2 linked regions of the Tamandua tetradactyla genome follow. The protein of the gene in region 2 interacts with the protein of the main gene of each other region in a pairwise test. Links are inferred from orthologs where the notes say so. Each region holds a gene or a part of one and is shown on either strand. Other genes may lie near its edges.

Region 1 (9,929 bases), on a different chromosome or scaffold from region 2:
CAGTAGCAGAAATTAAAAATTGCCTAGAGGGGTTCAACAGCAGATTGGAGCTGGCGGAAGAAAGAATCTATGAACTTGAAAACAAAATGATCAAAATTATTCACTCTGAGGGGCAGGAAGAAGAAAGAAGAAAAGTGAACGGAGCCTGAGAAGCTTGTGGGACACCAATAAGTGTACCAGTAGAGGCACCGTGGAAGTTCCAGAAGGAGAAGAAAGAGAGAAAGGAGTAGAGAGAATATAGAAAGAAATAATGCCTGAAAGCTTCCCAAACATAATGAAAGACAAGCAAATACACATCTAAGGGAGGGTTTAAGACATTCCCAGATAAACAAAAGCAGAGGGAATCTGTCACTTCTAGACCAGCCCTACAAGAGATGCCACAGGGAGTTTTGCAGGAGTAAGGAAAGGACACGAGATGACTGATCGAAGCCACAAGAAGAAATAAAGGTCTCAAGTAAAGACAATGATAAGGGTAAACAGAAATGCATGTATTAATGTATTTTTGACTTTTGAAGTACTTTTTACTTCCTACAGGATCTAAAAAAGGGAAATGCATAATATGTAACAATAAATCAATGCTCTTGGACTCACAATGTATAAATACGTAATTTCTGACAAGAACTACATAAAGGTAGGGGGACAGAAGGGTATAAGAACATAGTTAATATATGCTATTGAAGTTAAATTGGTATCAAAGGAAAACAGATTGGTGAGATTTAGGTTCTTAAATTTAACCCCCATGGTAACCATAGAGAGAAAGTATCAGTGAACATTGAAAATTTGCAAAGATGGAAAGTAAAGTCCAGGTTACCATGAGTAGGGGGAAGAGACAAGGGGGAGTTAATGCCATGTGAGTATAGGGTCTCTGTTTGGGGTGAAGAGAAATTTCTAGTAATGGATGGTGGTGATGGTACTGCAACACTGTGAATGTGATTAATCCCACTGAATGGTATACTTGGATGGGTTTGGGATGGAAAGTTTTCTGTCTCTATAAAAGAGAGTGAGAGAGCATCAAGGGATTGAGAAAAACCCTAGAATGAGCTGAGACTCAGCATCAAGGGATTGAGAAAAACCCTAGAATGAGCTGAGACTCAGCATCAAGGGATTGAGAAAACCTTCTCCACCAAAAGGGGGAAGAGTGAAATGAGACAAAGTGTCAATGGCTGAGAGATTCCAAACAGAGTCCAGAGGTTATCCTGGAGGTTATTCTTATGCAATAAGTAGATATCACCTTGTTAATCAAGATGTAATGGAGAGGCTGGAGGGAACTGCCTGAAAATGTAGAGCTGTGCTCCAGTAGCCATGTTTCTTGAAGATGTTTGTATAATGATACAGCTTTCACAATATGACTGTGTGATTATGAAAACCTTGTGTCTGATACTCCTTTTATCTACCTTGTCAACAAACGAGTAGAACATATGGAATAAAAATAAATAATAGGGGGAACAAAAAAAGAGAGAGAGTGAGAGAGAGAAAGAAAGAAAGAGAGGAGAGAGGAGGGAGGGAGGGAGGGAATGAGGAAAGGAGGAAGGAAAAACTGACTAAAGCAATAAAGACAATAAAATGCAACACATGATATTGGATGGGATCTAATAATGTAGAAAATGCCCAAAAGGACATGATTGGGACATAAGAAAAAGTTGAAATATATAATGTAACCTTTACATCAATGCTAAATTTTTTTAATATAACTGCACTTAAGGTGATTACATAAAGGAATAGCCTGTATATTCAAGGATTATAGTGCTTGCAACCCACTTTCAAATAGTCCAGAAATAGATTAGATAGATAGAATGATAAGGCACAGGTGGCAAAATGCTGAAATTGATAGATCTGGGTATCTGGGTGGGTGGGGGTATGCTGGATTTCTCTGTATGGAGTTTGTATTATTTTTGCAACTGTCCTATAAATTTGAGATTATTTCACTATAAAAAGTAAACAAAACAAAACAAAACAAAAAACACTGAACAACTCAAATATCCATCAATAGATGACTAGATAAACAAAATGTGGTATAGCCAGAGAATGGAATCTATTATTCAGCCACAAAAAAAATGATATTTGATACATGATTGATACATGCTACAATATCAATGAACCTTGAAAACATTATGCTAAGAGAAAGTAGCCAGTCACAAAATGTTACATATTGTATGATTTCATTTACATGAAACATCTGGAATCCACAGAAACAGAAAGCTGGCTATTGATTGCCAGAGGCTTGGGGGAGGGGGCAATGGTGAGTGACTGCTTAATGGATACAGATTTCCTTTTCTTTTCTTTTTTCCATACCTGAACACTTTGTTGGACACAGCTTAGGAGCCAGGGCCTAGCAGGCCCAGCAGACTGCCCTGCAGGTCCCATGCCAGCAGAGCTCAGGGGTAGGGGGTTGCATCCAGGGAAATCTCAGGGCCGGGGAACCTGGTAAGGCAAAAGTCTACTAAGATTACTATATAGTTGGGAGAGGAGAGCTGCTGCACAGGTCACATCTTTTATTAACAAACATCTAGTGAAGAGAAAAATGACAACTCGAATGCAGCCGCATATACTGAGCACTCCAGGACAAATGGGTGGGGGCACTCAGGGGGCCTGGCGGGGGATGAGTGGATCCAGATGTCCAAGGCCTGCTGTGTGTGTGGTGGGGGGCAAAGGGCAAGGCAAGGCAGGAAGCCTAAGACAATGCACACTAAGACACTGCACATTTGCAAGACCAGCTACTGAGGGGCTGCCCGCCCGGCGGCAATCTGCTTTTTCTGGAATGAATTGGGGGTGGTCTTTACATCTTGTGGCTGGTGGGCTGGGAGAAGAGCTGGGATGAAGGCCACAGCGAGACTGGAGAGGCCACGCTGGCTGGTGCAGAGGAGGGATCAGGATCAAGGATGGGGGCAGCTGGGCCAGGCCCCACACTCCGGCTTCCCCACATTGTCATTGGCAAAGGTACCACCAGGCTGCTCAGCCAGCACCCAGCTAAAGGAAGCTTCGGGTGACAGTTTCCATCAGGGAGCTGGTGAAGCAGAAGGCCTCTTCGCTTCAGGGACGCTCTTGGCCATGCCACAGGTGGCACTCAGGGTGTTGAAGAGCCTGACAGCTGTGGCATCCATGATGGGCTAAAAAGGAGCCCTACTCCAGGTCAGCCTTAGGCTTAGACATGTCTTTGGATGGGACTGGGGCGCGTGTTCAGTGGCTGAGAGGGAGAACAAGTTCAGGTGGGCACCCAGAAGTGGCAAAGTTGACCCTGCCTGGGTTTTCTTTTGGGGTGATGAAAATATCTTGAATCTAGATAGACCTGATGGCCGCACATTTTGAATGTATGAAATGCCACTGAATTGTACACTTTAAAATAGATAATGGTTAATTTTATGTTCTGCGAATTTTACCTCAATTAAAAAAAGAAAAGCTAGCACTGGAAAATCCCCAAAGTATGGATATGAAGATGAATATCTCCTATGTTAAATCAAATAACCTCTTTCTTTGACAAACAAGATCAACAAACTTCTCATGAAGGTTTCTCCCCTTTCTTTGTTCTAAAGTATCTGTCAAATGAACATTTTTCATGTAAAAGTTCTCCAAAATAGCCACTGCGATTCCAAGTCGTCCTTGGTGAACTAAATTGTGCCAGTTAGAAAGTAAAGGCTACAAGTTAATGTAATCGTGAGAAGACATGAAGGAAGGAGGAATTTGGCCCAGTTTTAGGCTGCAACAAAGGTTCATAAGGATGACACTGGTGCAACCTTTATCTCAGGAACTTGGCCAAAGGCCAGTTGTCACTGCTCAGGGGTCAGACAAAACCTCCTGATTCTGAGCAGAAGAAATGAAACAAAACAGTTCTCAGGGCCTCAGACAAAACCGAGGAAAATGTCCTTATAAGGTTTTTGAAATAGTGATCCAAGGCAAAGTTTATCCAAAGGACACTGGTTTGAGGATACCTTTGAAATTTTGTAGCCTCTGGAGCTGATCAGAGGACAGACTTTATTGGCCCTTAGTTGATGGAGCAATTTGTCTGTTTAATTCTGACAATGAATGAGACTCTGGCATGCAACCCCATTCCGTGACCCCTCAGTGGCTGACATCCCCTAACCTCTTAGAGGGAAAAGTGGTATTCAGTCCCCCTGAGATAGAGCAATAATAGCAGGTCTGTGATGCCCTTAGAAGTCCAGGGCTGCTTGCGTGCTAGGCTACCTGGCTCAGTATGTGCCTAAATTTTGCTGGCAGGTTTTTGACTATCCATTCGCTGTAGTTCTTTCCTTTTACGACCAATGTTCAAAATACTAGACAGACCATAGGAGCAGGTATACAGGGTAGAAAACAGTTTCACTAAAGGAAAAATATAAATCTGACCTGATGACAGAAAGTTCAGGGGCACCTGATTCCATGGAAAACAAACAAAATGAATCCAGTGCTTATGGGTCTCAACAAAATATTCAGAGCTCAATTCAGCAGGAACTTACCTTCCAGCTGTGGGGAGGGTGGCCCCTCAAACAGGTAAATAAACAGGGGCTCTTACATGTGCACTCTATTATTTGAGTCGTGAGTTGCAGTCAAAAGCAGTGTGGGCTTCAGCTGACTCTCCCTGGATCCTCCACTTCTGACAATGCCCTCCAGCTAGAAACCACCAGGAACACATCAGTAGTTGAGTAAGAGAGGGTGCACATCATGGGGAACCATGGGACATCTCAGCAAGAAATGTTAGAAGGGACGTATTACAGGAACTGGGCTTGTGTTATATGAGTTTCGAGGAGGATTCAAGAAAGTGGGATTTTGCTTTGAGTTGGATATTGTCAGGAAGTGGGGATAACTATTGGTTCTTAATAATTTTTATCTAGAAGATGGGAGAAATAAATCTGGGCTAAAGCCGTAATTGCTTTAAAAAGCACTGTGGAAAAGGGAAGAAGATTGTGTGTTTGGTCATTTTTGTGGCTTGGACAATGTTTCCACATTTGTGTTCAGACACGTTTAGAGAATGGTCTTTTTCGAGATCCAGAGGGTAGCCTTATGTGATATTGGCGTTGGGTAAAATTTTATATTCACCCATCTGTGAAGGCCAGGCCAGTTCCTAGCAATCCTGAGGCCATGAAGGGAGAGTGCAGACCAGCTCCCAGTTGTCAAGGGCTGCTTTTCTCTTTTACACCAATTACACTTGAAAAATCAGAATTGGCAAGTCCTTTTGGTAAGAACAGGAACTCTAGGTCACCAGAGGCCCCATCATCACTAAACACCTCGTAAGTGCCCTATTTCAGTCATTTACACTCCCATCTGGCTCCGCAGGCATTGAAATTTGCATCCCCTCAACAAGGAGAAAAGGAACCAACCAAGCCTAGAGAGAAATGACCTGCCCGGTGAACTGGTGGAAACTAAAACTCTAACTCTGCTTTTAGTTTCCTTCAGCAAAGCTCCCAGACAGACATTCTGGTAGATTGTTGAGTTCTGCTCCTCCTCACCACGCTTTCTTTTCAACAACGTGTTCTTATTTCTCTTTTGGGGATGGGTGTGCCTTTACAGCCACCAAGTGTCCTGGCATGATCTGGGATGCTAAGAAGTCTGCTCAGTTGTTCCAGTCACCCTGACGTTTTTTTCTGCTCCGCAAATACGCCCAGCTTGTTTCTGCCTGAGGGCTTTTGTGTCCACCCTCTACCTGGAACTCGTCTCTCACACCTCCATCTGGCCCCCTTCTTCTCGGCTTCAGCTCAGCATCACCAAATGAAACCCAGGGAAGCGCTCTCAGTGCAGAGACCCAACCATGGTACATGGACGCCACAGTCCACGTCAGGCGGGAGCATCAGCCCGCCTCGTCGGGATGGTCTTGGGGACTCGCCGGTGGCCCCCGGAACCCGCGCGACTCCGCCGCTGGCTCCAAGACCACTGCGCATGCTCCTTACTCAGGTCCCCTAACCCGCCCCCTCCCCGGTCAGGGGGCGGGCTCTTGACGCGCGTGCGCAGTTGCTCGGCCCCGGCTTTCGGGCCGAGCGGGCGCGATGGGGCTGTGGGTCAGCGTCGCCGAGTAGCGGCGGCGTGTCGGCCTGCCGAGCGAGCGGTCTGACCCGAGGGCCGGGCTCCGGGGTCTTTGGGAGCGGGACGGAGGGCGCGGAGAGAGCCCGGGATTGCCGCCCGCCGCCATCACCCGACATGTCGGCGGAGGCCTCGGGCCCGGCGGCGGCCGCGGCCCCGGCCCCAACCCTAGAAATACCCAAGCCCTCGGGTCTGGAGCCTTGCTCCGCCGCCTACGGTCTCCAGCCGCTGACCCCCAACAGCAAGTACGTGAAGCTGAACGTGGGCGGCTCGCTTCACTACACGACGCTGCGCACCCTCACGGGGCAGGACACCATGCTCAAGGCCATGTTTAGCGGCCGCGTGGAGGTGCTCACCGACGCCGGAGGTACGCGCGCCGCCCCCCGGCCCCTAGCCCCCCAGGTCTCCCCACGCCCCTTCTGTGGTATCAGTGTCGTCAGCTCATTCTCGCTCCTCATCCCATCTCATCTCCCCTTTCTCATTCATCATCTCCCTCCTCCCGCGATCCTTTACCCCTAGCGATTAACAATTTTGTAGCGTCCCGTCCCTAACTCTCCAGGCGCTGTGGTAAGTGATTTAACACTCTCCCACGCTTTACCCCGCAGCTCCAAAAAATGTCCAAGTGGGACACCGAAATGTGGGGGAGATTCAAAGTGGTAGATAAGGATTTTGACAGCAGGAAATAAAAATTTGAGAGGGGAGCTCAACCTTCAACAAGTGTTTGTAAAGTGCTGGGTAGTGCGTTAGTAAAGGAATGTGACAAGACCGCTGCCCCTACGGAGTTCACACTTCCAGGTGGGCGGTGGGCGAGGGGTAACAAGATTGGTTAGATGTTTACTGATAAGATAATTCTTTAAGAACTTTCTCCTGGGATCCCTCCTAACCGCAGACTTGGGAGGTAATTATCTCTTTGTGGCTGGAAATGTTAAAAAGAAGCGTATGGGAATGAAGAAGTTTTAAAGGGGTTTTCTTGGATAAGGCAGAGGTTTGGGGCAGATCAGTCTTCAGACTTTTCTTGTAGCCTTGAAATCCTGTTTTCATCAACAACTTGGTAGCTCCAAGGCCGGCAGCAAAACCATCCTTCCTCCCACCCGTCCCCACCACCAGGTTGGGTGCTGATTGACCGGAGTGGCCGCCACTTTGGCACAATCCTCAACTACCTGCGTGATGGGTCCGTGCCACTGCCTGAGAGCACCAGAGAACTGGGGGAGCTACTGGGTGAAGCACGCTACTACCTGGTTCAAGGCCTGATTGAGGACTGCCAGCTGGCCCTGCAGGTGAGGGCCTCTCCCGGCCTCCTGAGTCCCACTCCTGTGTCCATGTCCCAGGGAGAGCTGCCCTAACAGTTAGATATTAGCACTGAAAAAAAAAAGATGTCAGTTACCTCCTGGAGAGAGAATTTGTCCTCTTCATCCCTGCTGCCTCACATAGTCCTCCTCACCATCTCAGGCAGGACTATTGCAATAGTTAAATGACTGCTCTTTCTGCTGGCTTGCTGTTCCTACTCAGCCATTCCAGCTGATATAGTACCACCCACCCAAGTAATTATCCTTAAGCATAACCCCAATCTGTTCTCTCATTTACTCAGAAATACTAGATAGCTCTCTATTTCACCAAGGGAAAAAATAATTTAATTTAATTTAATTTAGAAGATAATGACCTCCATGATTTTGTCCCGGGAGGCAACTTGGTTTCTTTCTCTCTCTCTCTCTCTCTCTTTTTTCTTTCTTCAAAGAAATGAAATCCTTTCCTCAATGAAATCTCATAGAAGCTGGGCTGTTTCTGATAAAACAGGGTTGAAGGTTCCAGAGCCCTTCCTGTTAGGCTCCACTTCTACCCAACAGTGGCCCTTGAGGCCTCCTGTGGATCTTTTAGGGTTCCAAGGAAGAGTTTGCAAAGCACAGCTGGAACTTAAGGGTTCAATGTCAGCTCTGCCATACCTGCTGACTGACCTTGGTGAATCACTTCCCATCTCTGACATTCTGTCCGCATGTTCCAAAAGATAAGGAATTTGAAAAGAAGTACAGTGTGTAAGTTTTACATAGAGGCTTTTATTCTGTTCTGTTTTTACAATGTTGAAAATGTTCTTTCTTTTATGATACAATAGTAATGGGAGATTATAAGTTTCTTTCTTCCTTTTTTTTTTTTAACATGGGCAGCCTCCGGGAACTGATCCTGGGTCTCTGGCATGACAGGCGAGAACTGTGCCACTGAGCCACTGTTGCCTATAAGTTTCTTTTTTAATGCCCTTACTTTATATATTAAAAAGTGCCAACTGTTATCTTGGGGGATACTTATTGGTTCTTAATTCCAAAGTATACAGTCCCTTTGGACAACAGCTATGCTTTTCAAACTTTTTGATGGCATCCCACAGAAAAAAATAAGACATACATGTACATGACTGAAATGAGAGTTTTATAAAATAGTGCTTACTTTTAGTGAAATGCACCCTGATATATTTTATTCTTTTTTCTTAAATGCTGGTTGGGACCCATTAAACTGATTTCATGACCCGACCCGTTAATGGATTACCAGTTGCAGTTGGAAAACACTGAATTAAATGATCTTGGTGACATATTCCTGCTCTGTAGTTTTGCACACCCACTATGTGTCAGGAGCGATTCTGCTATCTGCTTGACTATACGTTTTATACTTCTGTTTGACATAAAAAGAAACACGAGGCAGGTTGGGTGACACATCTCAGGTCAAAGGGCCAGTAAGTGGCAGAGCTTAGACTCAACCCCAGGTTATCTGACTCCCAAGTGCAGTGCCTTTTCTTTTGTGCTCCAGCTGCCTCTGAGACTCTTCCCATCCCCATCCCACACATCTAGCATTTGCTTGTTTGTTTAGAGGTGGTGTTTTTTATTTAAGATTTAGATATCGAGGATTGAGTTCATCCAGTTCCTCAGTAAATGGCAGTTAATCGTCTTTGGTCCATGCAGATCTTTTGTTTTTATTTTATTTTCCCTTCATGCCAAATCCCCTTCCCTGTTCCTATTCTCCCCATAGACACCCATTCCAATTCTGATGTTTTGATACATATGCTTAGATTATGTTTGTATATATATGCTTAGATTATGTTTGTACTCTTGAGAAGGTGAAGCATTGTTTTGCATATGTATGTGTTTGTGTTTTCAATTTCCATAAATGACATTGAGCTGTGGATTGTGTTCTGTTTCCTAGTTGTTTTTTTTTTTTTTTTTTTTAACATGGGCAGGCCCAGGAATCGAACCCGGGTCCTCTGGCATGGCAGGCAAGTGTCCTTGCCTGCTGAGCCACCGTGGCCCGCCCTCCTAGTTGTTTTTTTTAACTCAACTCTTCAAAATGTATTCATGCTGTTCTTCGCTTCTAGTTCTTCGCTTCTAACTGCTGCCCAGGAATCTATGGTGCACGTTCATCACATTTCACTTATACCTTCCCCTGAGCTTGGAGACCTAGATTGCCTTCCACTTCCCACTCCTGCAAATGGTGGCACAGCAGGTATCTTTGTATATGTCCACTCATGGTCCTATGCCAGGGTTTCTTGTGTTTGTAGATGGGAGTGGAATTACAGGATTGCAGGGCACATACATACTGCGTTTCATTAACTAGCATCATCATATCATTCTCCACATTGGTTGTAGCAGTTTATACTCATCAGCAGTGTATAGGGATCCCATTTCTGCATATCGTTGACAACATAGCATCATCCAGCTTCCTGAATTTGCCAATCTGATGGGTACAGAGTGATCTCATTTTTATTTGCATGCCTGGTTACCCATGAGGTTGAGCATCTTTTCATTTCTGGTTTCTTTCTGTGAACTCCTTACCAAACTTTCTACTAAGTTTCTTGTCTCTTTTTTGTGACTTTGTAGGAGATCTTTGCATATTTTAGTTCGGTCTTTCTTGACCAGGGTTCCTCAGAGAATTAAGCCCTGTTACCC
Region 2 (9,631 bases):
AATGATACACCTGCTGCTCATATAGGCAGAAATCACAATGGTGAAATGTGGGGAAAAAATACAACCAAGTTCTTTTGTTGGCAGTTGAAAATTTCCGCTTCCCAGCTCCATAATAGTTCTTCAATCTTCTCGCTTTCTCCCCGTGATCAGCTTGCTCATTTTAGAACAGGTAGGCCCTCAGATATCCTCTACTGTAGCTTCCCATTTCATGGTTGGAGAAATTGAGGCTCAACAAAAGGTGGCATGGGTAAGGTTACTTAGCACGGTATAGCTCGGGGACTAGCATGTAGGTCTCTGATCTCCATCCAGGCTCTCTCCTCTGTCCCAAATCATCTCCATCACCTACAACTCACGGCCATGCCTGAAACAGACTAAGCAACCCCTCTCAGTTTCTGCAAGATCATTCAACACTATTTCTTAAGGTATCCACTACATTGTATGTGGTGATTTACCTTACCTCGTATGTACTATCCTTGGAAGAATTGGGGAAAGCAGTCACTCAAATAATTTTCTGTAACATTTAATCCTCTTGCAGAACCCCAACTGAGAACAGCTGCTGGAATGTATCCCTTTAAATGATTAACTCTCTTCAGGCAAAGAAGACTTCCTATGACCAACTGAAGTCTCTCCTGCTTTAATTTAATGCCGTCTTCCTTTGTTTAATCCCTCTGATGTGTGGAGAATTTATTAACATGTCTCTCATAAAACTCTGGCACAGCAGGAAATTAAATTCACCTAGTATAGTCAGCTGTTCAGAAAGCTTTGCCAGCAGCTCTGCACTATTTTATGGTTGCCAAGGTGATTGTAAATTGATTGTTTGATGACTTATTCTAGCATCATTCCAGGTATTGATGTTAAGTTGAGACATGACAAACCCAAGCGTGAACATAAAAGACCTGTCATATAGTAAAGGAGGACTCTAGATCCAAGCGAACCAGGTATATTTGGACTGGAAATGATTCTTTAAGAGAATCTCCCAAAAACGTAAGGACAGTCTTGGGGAAGAGAGAGGAGACTTGTGTTAAGTGGCCTCAAGGGGGCAGACTTAGGATCCATGGATAGAAGCTATAAGATGATGGGTTTTAGTTTACTACCTAGAGAGCTGGAGAAATATACACCTAAGAAAGAGCTTGGCAAGATGGCTCTGTAAGATTGTTGGTGGATGCATAGCATAAACAGCTGACTAGACTGTGAGACGCTTCATTCAAAAACCACTAACACACCATCCAGCCCTGTAATTCAATGATAATGGTAATTTTTAGAATCATTCTTTTTTCTTTTCCAAGGAGCCAAGTTATATCCCTTTTTCAATTATTTTTCACAGCAATTTAACATAAAATAAATTATTGTTATCCGCTTTCAAAGGGTCCCTCCACAGATATGGCTTGATAAGACAAATAGGTTTTCTTCATATATATTTTGGTTCAAAATAAAATCACAGGGTACACAGGTCGCTCAGTGGTAGAATGCTTGCCTGCCATGCGGGAGACTGGCTTTAATTTACAGCCCATACGCTAAAAAATAAAAATAAAAAATAACAATAATAACTACCTCTTTTGCAAGGACTCATGCTAAGCATTTTATATAATTTTATCTCATTTAATGCAAATTTAATGAGATAATGCATAACAGAGGTGATGTTATGCACAGACATTTAAAACAATCATTTAGAAAGAAATCTACAAATGTTTCTCCTCTCAAAGGATCATAAAGATGGAAGGCATCTGGTCTAAACCAAGACCCAGGATAAGATGTTCCTAAGCCATGCAGTTATGGGAGGGATTCATTGTCTGGCACCACAGAGCTCTACTCCTGATAGGTAAATCAAAATGTGTTGTTACTCTCTGTTAGGCAGGAAGGAAAGGACACATCAGTGTCTTAAGGGACCAACAAAAGTTGTAACTGGACACTATCAATCACCATAAAAGAGCCTGCTTTTTCTTACGTCAAATAAAGGTGCGTTTAGTCTACTAAGAACTTTCAACTGAACCATTAACTGTCTAAAGCCTCAAGCACAAAAAACAGTTATTAGTCAAACTCCTCTGCTGGGAAATGAAACGGCAGCAGCGGGCAAGTGAAACGCATTGGTCAGGAGCAGATCTGGACTCTTAATTTGCCCTCCCACCTTGGACTTCTCCTTTCTGCCTTTCAGTTTCTTCAATTGCAAACAGATGAGAATAAACTAAATTAGTAAACTCTTTGCCATTCCAACTTTTTCTAGTCTCGTGATTCTAAAAGGAATCTAGGAGAAAAGACTCTTGGCGAGAAGACAATATCTTGGAATCGCCTCCAGTTTGGCAATGTAGCAAAGAGACTGTACTCCTAGCAAGACTGATGGGCAAGGCCTGGAACTTCTTAGTTTACATAGCACCTTTCCCTTCTTGATTTAAGTGTTTGTGGATTTTTTTTAAAGGTATTTCCCAAAATATTCAAAGATAAACATTTAAGTGACTTATGTATAAATCTAGATGATCAATTAGTGTTTGTCTTTAGTTTTTATTGATGTTGTTCTTTTTTTGTATCTGAAGGTTAAACACTATGCTTATTTATTCCATAGTTTCACAAACAGGAAGGAGGTTTTAAATGGCTTAGTTCCACAATTCATGGTAGATGAATATTTTAAGAGAACTTGTTGCATAACAGACACTGCCTCTTCCTAAAATGCATCACACCAGAGCCAGTTTTGGAAAACACAAATATGGGGTGGGTATATTTTGAAAACTATGTGAACATAATAGATCCTTAACTAACATTTGTGGCTATTAGGGAAAATATTTGTTTTTTTTTTTCAGGCATCTTTCTTGTCAAACCAGTTTCTACTATTGAAGGAGATTAAAAGGGACATGTAGGTTAAATTTTGCTCCTGGGTTTTACTTCTAGCGTAAACACCAAATTACTTTTGTCCTAAAGGATTTTATTGTTTAGGTACAGGAGACTAACAGTACACGCTAATCTATATCAACTTGATTTATAATCCATATTTGTGTGGCATTTATACGTGCAAAAGCACCCTCGTATTTATTGGTATTATATCATTCGATTCTTACTCAACTCAATGGAAGTGATTTTATTTGCCCCTTTAGAGATGGAGCAAATCAGGCTTCAGCTTTGTGACTTGCCTAAGGACAGTGAGTTAGAAAACTCAATGAATACATGACTCTGGAACCTGACTATCCTAATTCCAATTGCAGTGCTTATTCCCTGTCCTCCATTCCTGTGTGTAATGATGCAGTACATTGAAAAGACTGGAAGATGAGTTTTAGAATCAGTGCGAGAGGCAGGAATCAAATCCTATCTCTCCATGTGCCCCCCACAGGAAAGCTATTTGAGCTTCATTTGTGAATTAAGCTAAAAATAGTAACATCCCCCCACCAATGGACTTTGGAAAGGATTAAATGGAATAATACATGAAAAGCACATAGCAGAATATTCTATAAATGTCAGCTGTTGTTATATTATCATATAATCTACAAAGTATGTTTGGTTACACTGCTTGAAGCACTTTGTTGTTCAAAAACCGTTAATATATGTGAAAATCAAACCCTGAAAATTAATTTATTCTTAGCAGTAACATCATATGTCAGATGCCAAAGGAAAGCATTTCATGTACAAAAGACTTTAGTTTTAAGAGTTGGCATGATTTTTTAAAAAGCAGTTTTACTCACACATCACACAATCCATCCAAAGAGTACAATCGATGGCTGTCACAGAATTGTGCATTCATCACCACAATCAATCTGAGAACATCTTCATTGCTCCAAAAAGAAAAATCCCACCCCCTTATACCTCCCTAATATTAGCAATGGTGACTTAGTTACAACTGATGAAAGAATATTAACTATTAATCCATACTTTGCATTAGTTGTGTTTTCCCCATATACCTCCCTATTATTAACAGCTTGTAGTAGTAATGTAAATTCGTTCTAGTTCATGGGAGAAATTCTTACATATGTACTATTAACATCATCCACAAAAGGGTTCACAGTGTTATACAGTCCCAGGTTTTATCCTCCAGCTTTCCTTCTAGTGGCATACATTACCCTAAACTTCCCCTTTCAAACACAATGACACCTATATTTCAGCACCATTAATTACTTTCACAATAATGTGTCTCCATTGCCTCTGTCATTTTTCAAACATTTACAATCAAGCTTATTAAAAATTCTGCACAAATTAAGCACCAGTTCTCCAGCCTCTACCCTCATTCTATCTCATCGTGGTATGATTATTTTAAAAGAAGATTTATATTTTGCTTTCTATAGTTTCAAATGTATAGAAACTATAGTTTCTAGAGTTTCAAATTTTCTTAATGTTAATACCTTCTAAGTAGTTTGTGCCATATGAAATTACCATTTTTGAACGTAAAAATGGGTAATTAACGGCAATTTCATATGGTTCAACACCACAGATTAACAAATCTGGGGTTGATGAAAGGTTTGTCGTTGTTATTTTGTTTTGTTTTCGTTGCAATGGGGATTCCCAAGTTGACATTGAACTGAAAAGTATCTCAGTTTCAACTTAGGTCCATTCAAACAGGTAATGAGGGAGTGATGCCACACTCCCAAGAATTAAAAACAAAAGCATAAAACTTCCTCCCTCCATCCCAAACACAGGCATGAACACCCCAGCTCCCACGGAAATCCAGAGTGAAATTATGTCTCAATGCCTGCAAATTCCCAAGGAGGGCACCAAAAGGACTTGACAGTGAATGCACTGAGGAAATCGGCAGCTGTTGAAGTCACCTCCTGTGGTCTTGCCAAATGTTTGAAAGGGAATATGGTGTGTGTGTGTGTGTGTGTGTGTGTGTGTGTGTGTGTGTGTGTGTGTGTGTGTGTTTGGGGGTGGAGATGAGGGGAGCGTCATTTATATCTGCTCGGGTTGAGGGGCGTTGGGGAGTTCCTGGACGAGGAGGTCTGTGTCTGCGTGGCTCTGCAAGCCTCCAGGCGAGCGTCTGTGCGTGCTGCCTTCTTTCCCTCCCCGTGCCCGTGCCTTTGTGCCTCTGGGTGAACCTGTGTTTGTTTCTGGCCGCGTCTCTGTTGGACAGGGTGACTTTGTGCCTGTCTGCCTCTGTGCGCGCGCGCGCGCGCGAATGTGCACGTCGGTGCGCTGGACGGGTGTGTCTCGGTGTCTGTGGTTCCGTATAAGTCTGAGCATGTCTGTCAGGGAGCATTTGTGCCTGTATATGCGTGTCTCGGGGGGCGCCCTCACCTCTGTTCCCGCAGGTGCCCGTGCGCTGCCCAGTCCGCACAGGCGCCCGGGACCGACAGGTAACAGCCACACCAGAGCCCAAAGCGCCTGGCTTCGCCGGCGAGCACACCAGCCCCCGCTTTAGCCCCCTGGGACCCGCCCGGGGGAGCCGGGAGGGAGTGATGGGCCCGCCCGCCGGGGAGCAGCTGCGCCCCGCCCGCGCCAACGCCGGGAGCCCGCGAGCTGGGAGGTGGCGGGGGGGGGGGGGCTCGGGGGGGGACGGGGCGGGAACGCGAGGGCTGCCCGCGCGCCATTGGCGGAAAGTTGCCGCGCGTCACCGGGAGGGCAGGTCCCCTAAAGTCCAGTGCACATAACGGGCAGGGCGCACTCTGAGGCGGCTTCTCCAGAGCGCGGGGACGGGACTGACGGGGACGGCGAGCCCAGGGCACCCCACAAAGCTGAGTGTGCAGGACGCGCCCCCGCCAAACCCACCTCACGGCCGCTGAATGAGGCTTCCGGGCGTCCTCCGGTGGCCCGCAGCGCCCCGCCCGGGGTCCGCCCGCTGAGGCGCGGCCGGTGCGCCGGCAGTCAGTGCACTCACCTGCCAGCCTGCGCGCCATGGGGCAACCCGGGAACAACAGCGTCTTCTTGCTGGCGCCCAATGGAAGCCAAGAGCCGGACCACAACGTCACGCAGGAACGGGACGAGGCGTGGGTGGTGGGCATGGGCATCGTGATGTCCCTCATCGTCCTGGCCATCGTGTTTGGGAACGTGTTGGTCATCACAGCCATCGCCAGGTTCGAGCGTCTGCAGACGGTCACCAACTACTTCATCACCTCTCTGGCCTGTGCTGACCTGGTCATGGGCCTGGCGGTGGTGCCTTTCGGGGCCAGCCACATCCTCATGAAAATGTGGACATTTGGCAACTTCTGGTGCGAGTTTTGGACCTCCATCGATGTGTTGTGCGTCACGGCCAGCATTGAGACCCTGTGCGTGATTGCGGTGGACCGCTACTTCGCCATCACCTCACCGTTCAAGTACCAGAGCCTGCTGACCAAGAATAAGGCCCGGGTGGTCATCTTGATGGTGTGGATTGTGTCAGGCCTCACCTCCTTCCTGCCCATCCAGATGCACTGGTACCGGGCCACCCACCGGCAAGCCATCAACTGCTACGCCAAGGAGACCTGCTGTGACTTCTTCACGAACCAAGCCTACGCTATCGCCTCGTCCATTGTGTCCTTCTATTTGCCCTTGGTGGTCATGGTCTTTGTCTACTCCAGGGTCTTCCAAGTGGCCAAAAGGCAGCTCCAGAAGATTGACAAATCCGAAGGCCGCTTCCACGCCCAAAACCTCAGCCAGGTGGAGCAGGATGGGCGGAGTGGCCATGGACATCGCAGGGCCTCCAAGTTCTGCTTGAAGGAACACAAAGCCCTCAAGACTTTAGGTATCATCATGGGCACTTTTACCCTCTGCTGGCTGCCCTTCTTCATCGTCAACATTGTACATGTGATCCAGGACAACCTCATCCCCAAGGAAGTATACATCCTCCTGAACTGGGTGGGCTACGTCAATTCCGCTTTCAATCCCCTCATCTACTGCCGGAGCCCAGATTTCAGGATTGCCTTCCAGGAGCTTCTGTGCCTGCGTAGGGCTTCTCTGAAGGCCTGTGGGAATGGCTACTCCAACAGCTCCAACAGTAAGACTGACTACGCAGGGGAGCAGAGTGGATATAACCTGGGGCAAGAGAAAGAAAGCGAACTGCTGTGCGAGGTCCCCCCAGGCACAGCAGACTTTGGGAGCTGTCAAGGTACTGTGCCTAACGATAGCATTGATTCACAAGGGAGGAATTGTAGTACCAATGACTCACTGCTGTAATGCAGTTTTTCTACTTTTTAAAGGCCCCCCCCAAAAAAAAACACTAAAGAGACTATTTAACTTGAGTGTAATAAATTAGAATAAAATTGTATAGAGAGGTGCAGGAGGAAGGACATCCTTCTGCTTTTTTATTATTATTTTTTTAAACTGTAAAAAAAGAGAAAACATATTCGAGTGATTATTTGTTTCTTGTACAGTTGAGTTCCTCTTTGCATGGAACTTTTAAGTTTATGTCTAAAGGGCTTTCGTCCCAGAGGACCTGGATCTGCTATGTTTTGGCAACTTTTCCGTGTATCTACCTCATTGGCCAAGTATTAGGGGTGAAATATTGCTGCTGGTAATTTGTATCTGAAGGAGACTTTCCTTCCTGCACCCTTGGACTTGAGGATCTTGAGTATCTCGGACCTTTCAGCTGTGAACATGGACTCTCCCCGCTCCTTTTATTTGCTAAACGGGGTATTGTAGGCAGGGATTTGAGGGGCAGCTTCGGTTGTTTTCCTGAGCAAAGTCTAAAGTTTACAGTAAATAAATTGTTTGACCATGACTTCATTGCACCTGTTTCTCCAAAACCCCTTCACAGGAGTGTTATTTTCTCCCCCACTGGAAACCACAGGTAACTATTTGTCATAACTGTTCAGTGACTTAATGCAGAATGATGCAGACTTAATGCAGAATACAAAATGACATGTGCTGATTGCTTAACCCTTTCGTTTGCCTTTGAGTCTGCTGCTGCTGCAAATCTGTATCTCTCCTAGCACTCATGCCCCCAGATCAGTTCTGCATGCTTCTGGCATAACTGGGCTCGTCCTATAATTATTATTCTGTTCTGTTACATCAGAAACACTGAATCATAGACACAGAGTTATGAGTATATGTTTTGTCCCTCCACACCCCCCCACCACCCACCTTCCAGTTCTACTTGTTTAGAAACTGCCTGTATTTATATCTTTGCCGTATCTTATAGTGGAGATCTTTGTACTGCATCAGGACTTGGCATTTTAGGGATGAATAAGGGAGATGTTCTTGAGAAAAAGCTGCTCAAACATAGCCCCATAATTCCAAGAGAAAATAAAAGGGCATTGCTTATAGGTAGAAAAAGCTGAAAAATAGCTGATGAATATCTCATGACTTAGAAATAGGGTTTTAACCCCTTCCCTCCTTCTTTTCTTCTGTCCCCTTGTATAAACCAAGGTTTCTCAGTGCTGGCACTATGGGCACTTTGGGCCAGATAACTCTTTGTCTTCTTTGTGGTGAAGGTGGGGGTGGGGGAGGCTGCCCCATGCACCTTAGTATGTTTAACAGCATCCCTGGCCTTGACCCACTAGATGCCTTAGTCCTGATGACCAAAAAATGTCTCCAGACATTGCCAAATGTGAAATCTTCCCAGGTTGATACCACCAGTATAAACTTTTAAAACACAAACAGATTTTTAGATTCTGTCTATTGTACCACTTTATCTTGGGTGGTTTTTCCCGGTTCACCCAGTTAGTGCTAGGCCCTAGGCCAGTGAGTGGCTCTTTTCCACTATATCGTGCTGCCTTCTGAACTCACTTTCCAGCCCTGCTCCTGAGTGTGAGACACTAAGAAGGACTGTACAGAATCGTTTGGAAGGGTTTATCAGTGTAGGCAAGGGCTGTGGGCCGTTACTGCCTGTTTGTGGAGAGGTTATAGTACTGCTAAGAGGCACAGGAAAGAAAATCACAAAAGTAAACACCTTCCTACCCTCCACCCCCCGTGGCCTCACCCCCACCCCTTTCTATTTTTGCCTGTGTATCTGAGCCAGAGCTTGGCTCAGGTCAGATGGAGTGAATTGTCCTCCCTGGCAACACGAGGCCGCAGGATTCATTGCCATTTCACTCGTAATGAAGCTGACTCCATATCTCTCTTCCTTTCTGTCCCAGCCAAGGTCCCCAACCAGAAAAGCATCAGCCTTCTCTTTCTCGTTAGCTCGGTGACGGAGTGCCTGGATGAACGCTGAGCTCTCAGGAGAATGTCAGGCACCCACGTATTTGGAAGGCACCCGGAAATATTGGAGAGTTTGTGCCCCATTCAGCGCTTTCGCTTTTTCTCTCAGGGTTTTCATACCTATTATCACTTCTTCTCCTGCTCTGAGTCCTATTTTCCTCGTTGCTTCATCTCTAGCTGATTTCATACTCCCCATAGCCTCACAGGGTCTCAGACTTGGAAGCACCCGTAGACAGCATTTGACATCTGAGGAGACCGAATGACCCGCCCAAGGTAAGAAGTCAAGGATGTCCACTAAGCCAGGGCTAACACCAAACAACCTGTGGTTCCAGGAACCGTGTATTCTCCTGATCACATGGTGTTGTGGGATTCTCCTCTCACTCAGTCGGGGAAGTGTTTCCCTGGAAGCTGTAAAGCAACAAGTTCATTTCAGTGGTTGTTTTTTGTTTCTTTAGAGTCCTCAACTCAAAATTCAGGGAATAAACAACCTGAAATGGGGACAACAGAAAGAATTCTTCATTTTATTCAGCAAGAATCCACTAAGATATCCTCTGCATTTAGTGAAGCTAGGAGATCCTTTCATTCTTTATGTCATACCAGAACT

The links.
Region 1: the proteins of ADRB2 (region 2) and KCTD13 interact in a protein complementation assay, tested with the Homo sapiens proteins (2 studies listed by BioGRID and IntAct, with this or other methods). The link is inferred for Tamandua tetradactyla from reciprocal best matches to the Homo sapiens genes ADRB2 and KCTD13.

Annotation. Positions count from the first base shown.
Region 1 is NC_135349.1:24,452,010-24,461,938, reverse strand, and holds the start of KCTD13 (BTB/POZ domain-containing adapter for CUL3-mediated RhoA degradation protein 1), read left to right. Parts: upstream 1-5,941; 5' UTR 5,942-6,123; coding exon 6,124-6,373; intron 6,374-7,113; coding exon 7,114-7,283; intron 7,284-9,929. UniProt on the Homo sapiens protein: Substrate-specific adapter of a BCR (BTB-CUL3-RBX1) E3 ubiquitin-protein ligase complex required for synaptic transmission.
Region 2 is NC_135346.1:29,579,237-29,588,867, forward strand, and holds the start of ADRB2 (beta-2 adrenergic receptor), read left to right. Parts: upstream 1-5,586; 5' UTR 5,587-5,805; coding exon 5,806-7,062; 3' UTR 7,063-9,631. UniProt on the Homo sapiens protein: Beta-adrenergic receptors mediate the catecholamine-induced activation of adenylate cyclase through the action of G proteins. The beta-2-adrenergic receptor binds epinephrine with an approximately 30-fold greater affinity than it does norepinephrine.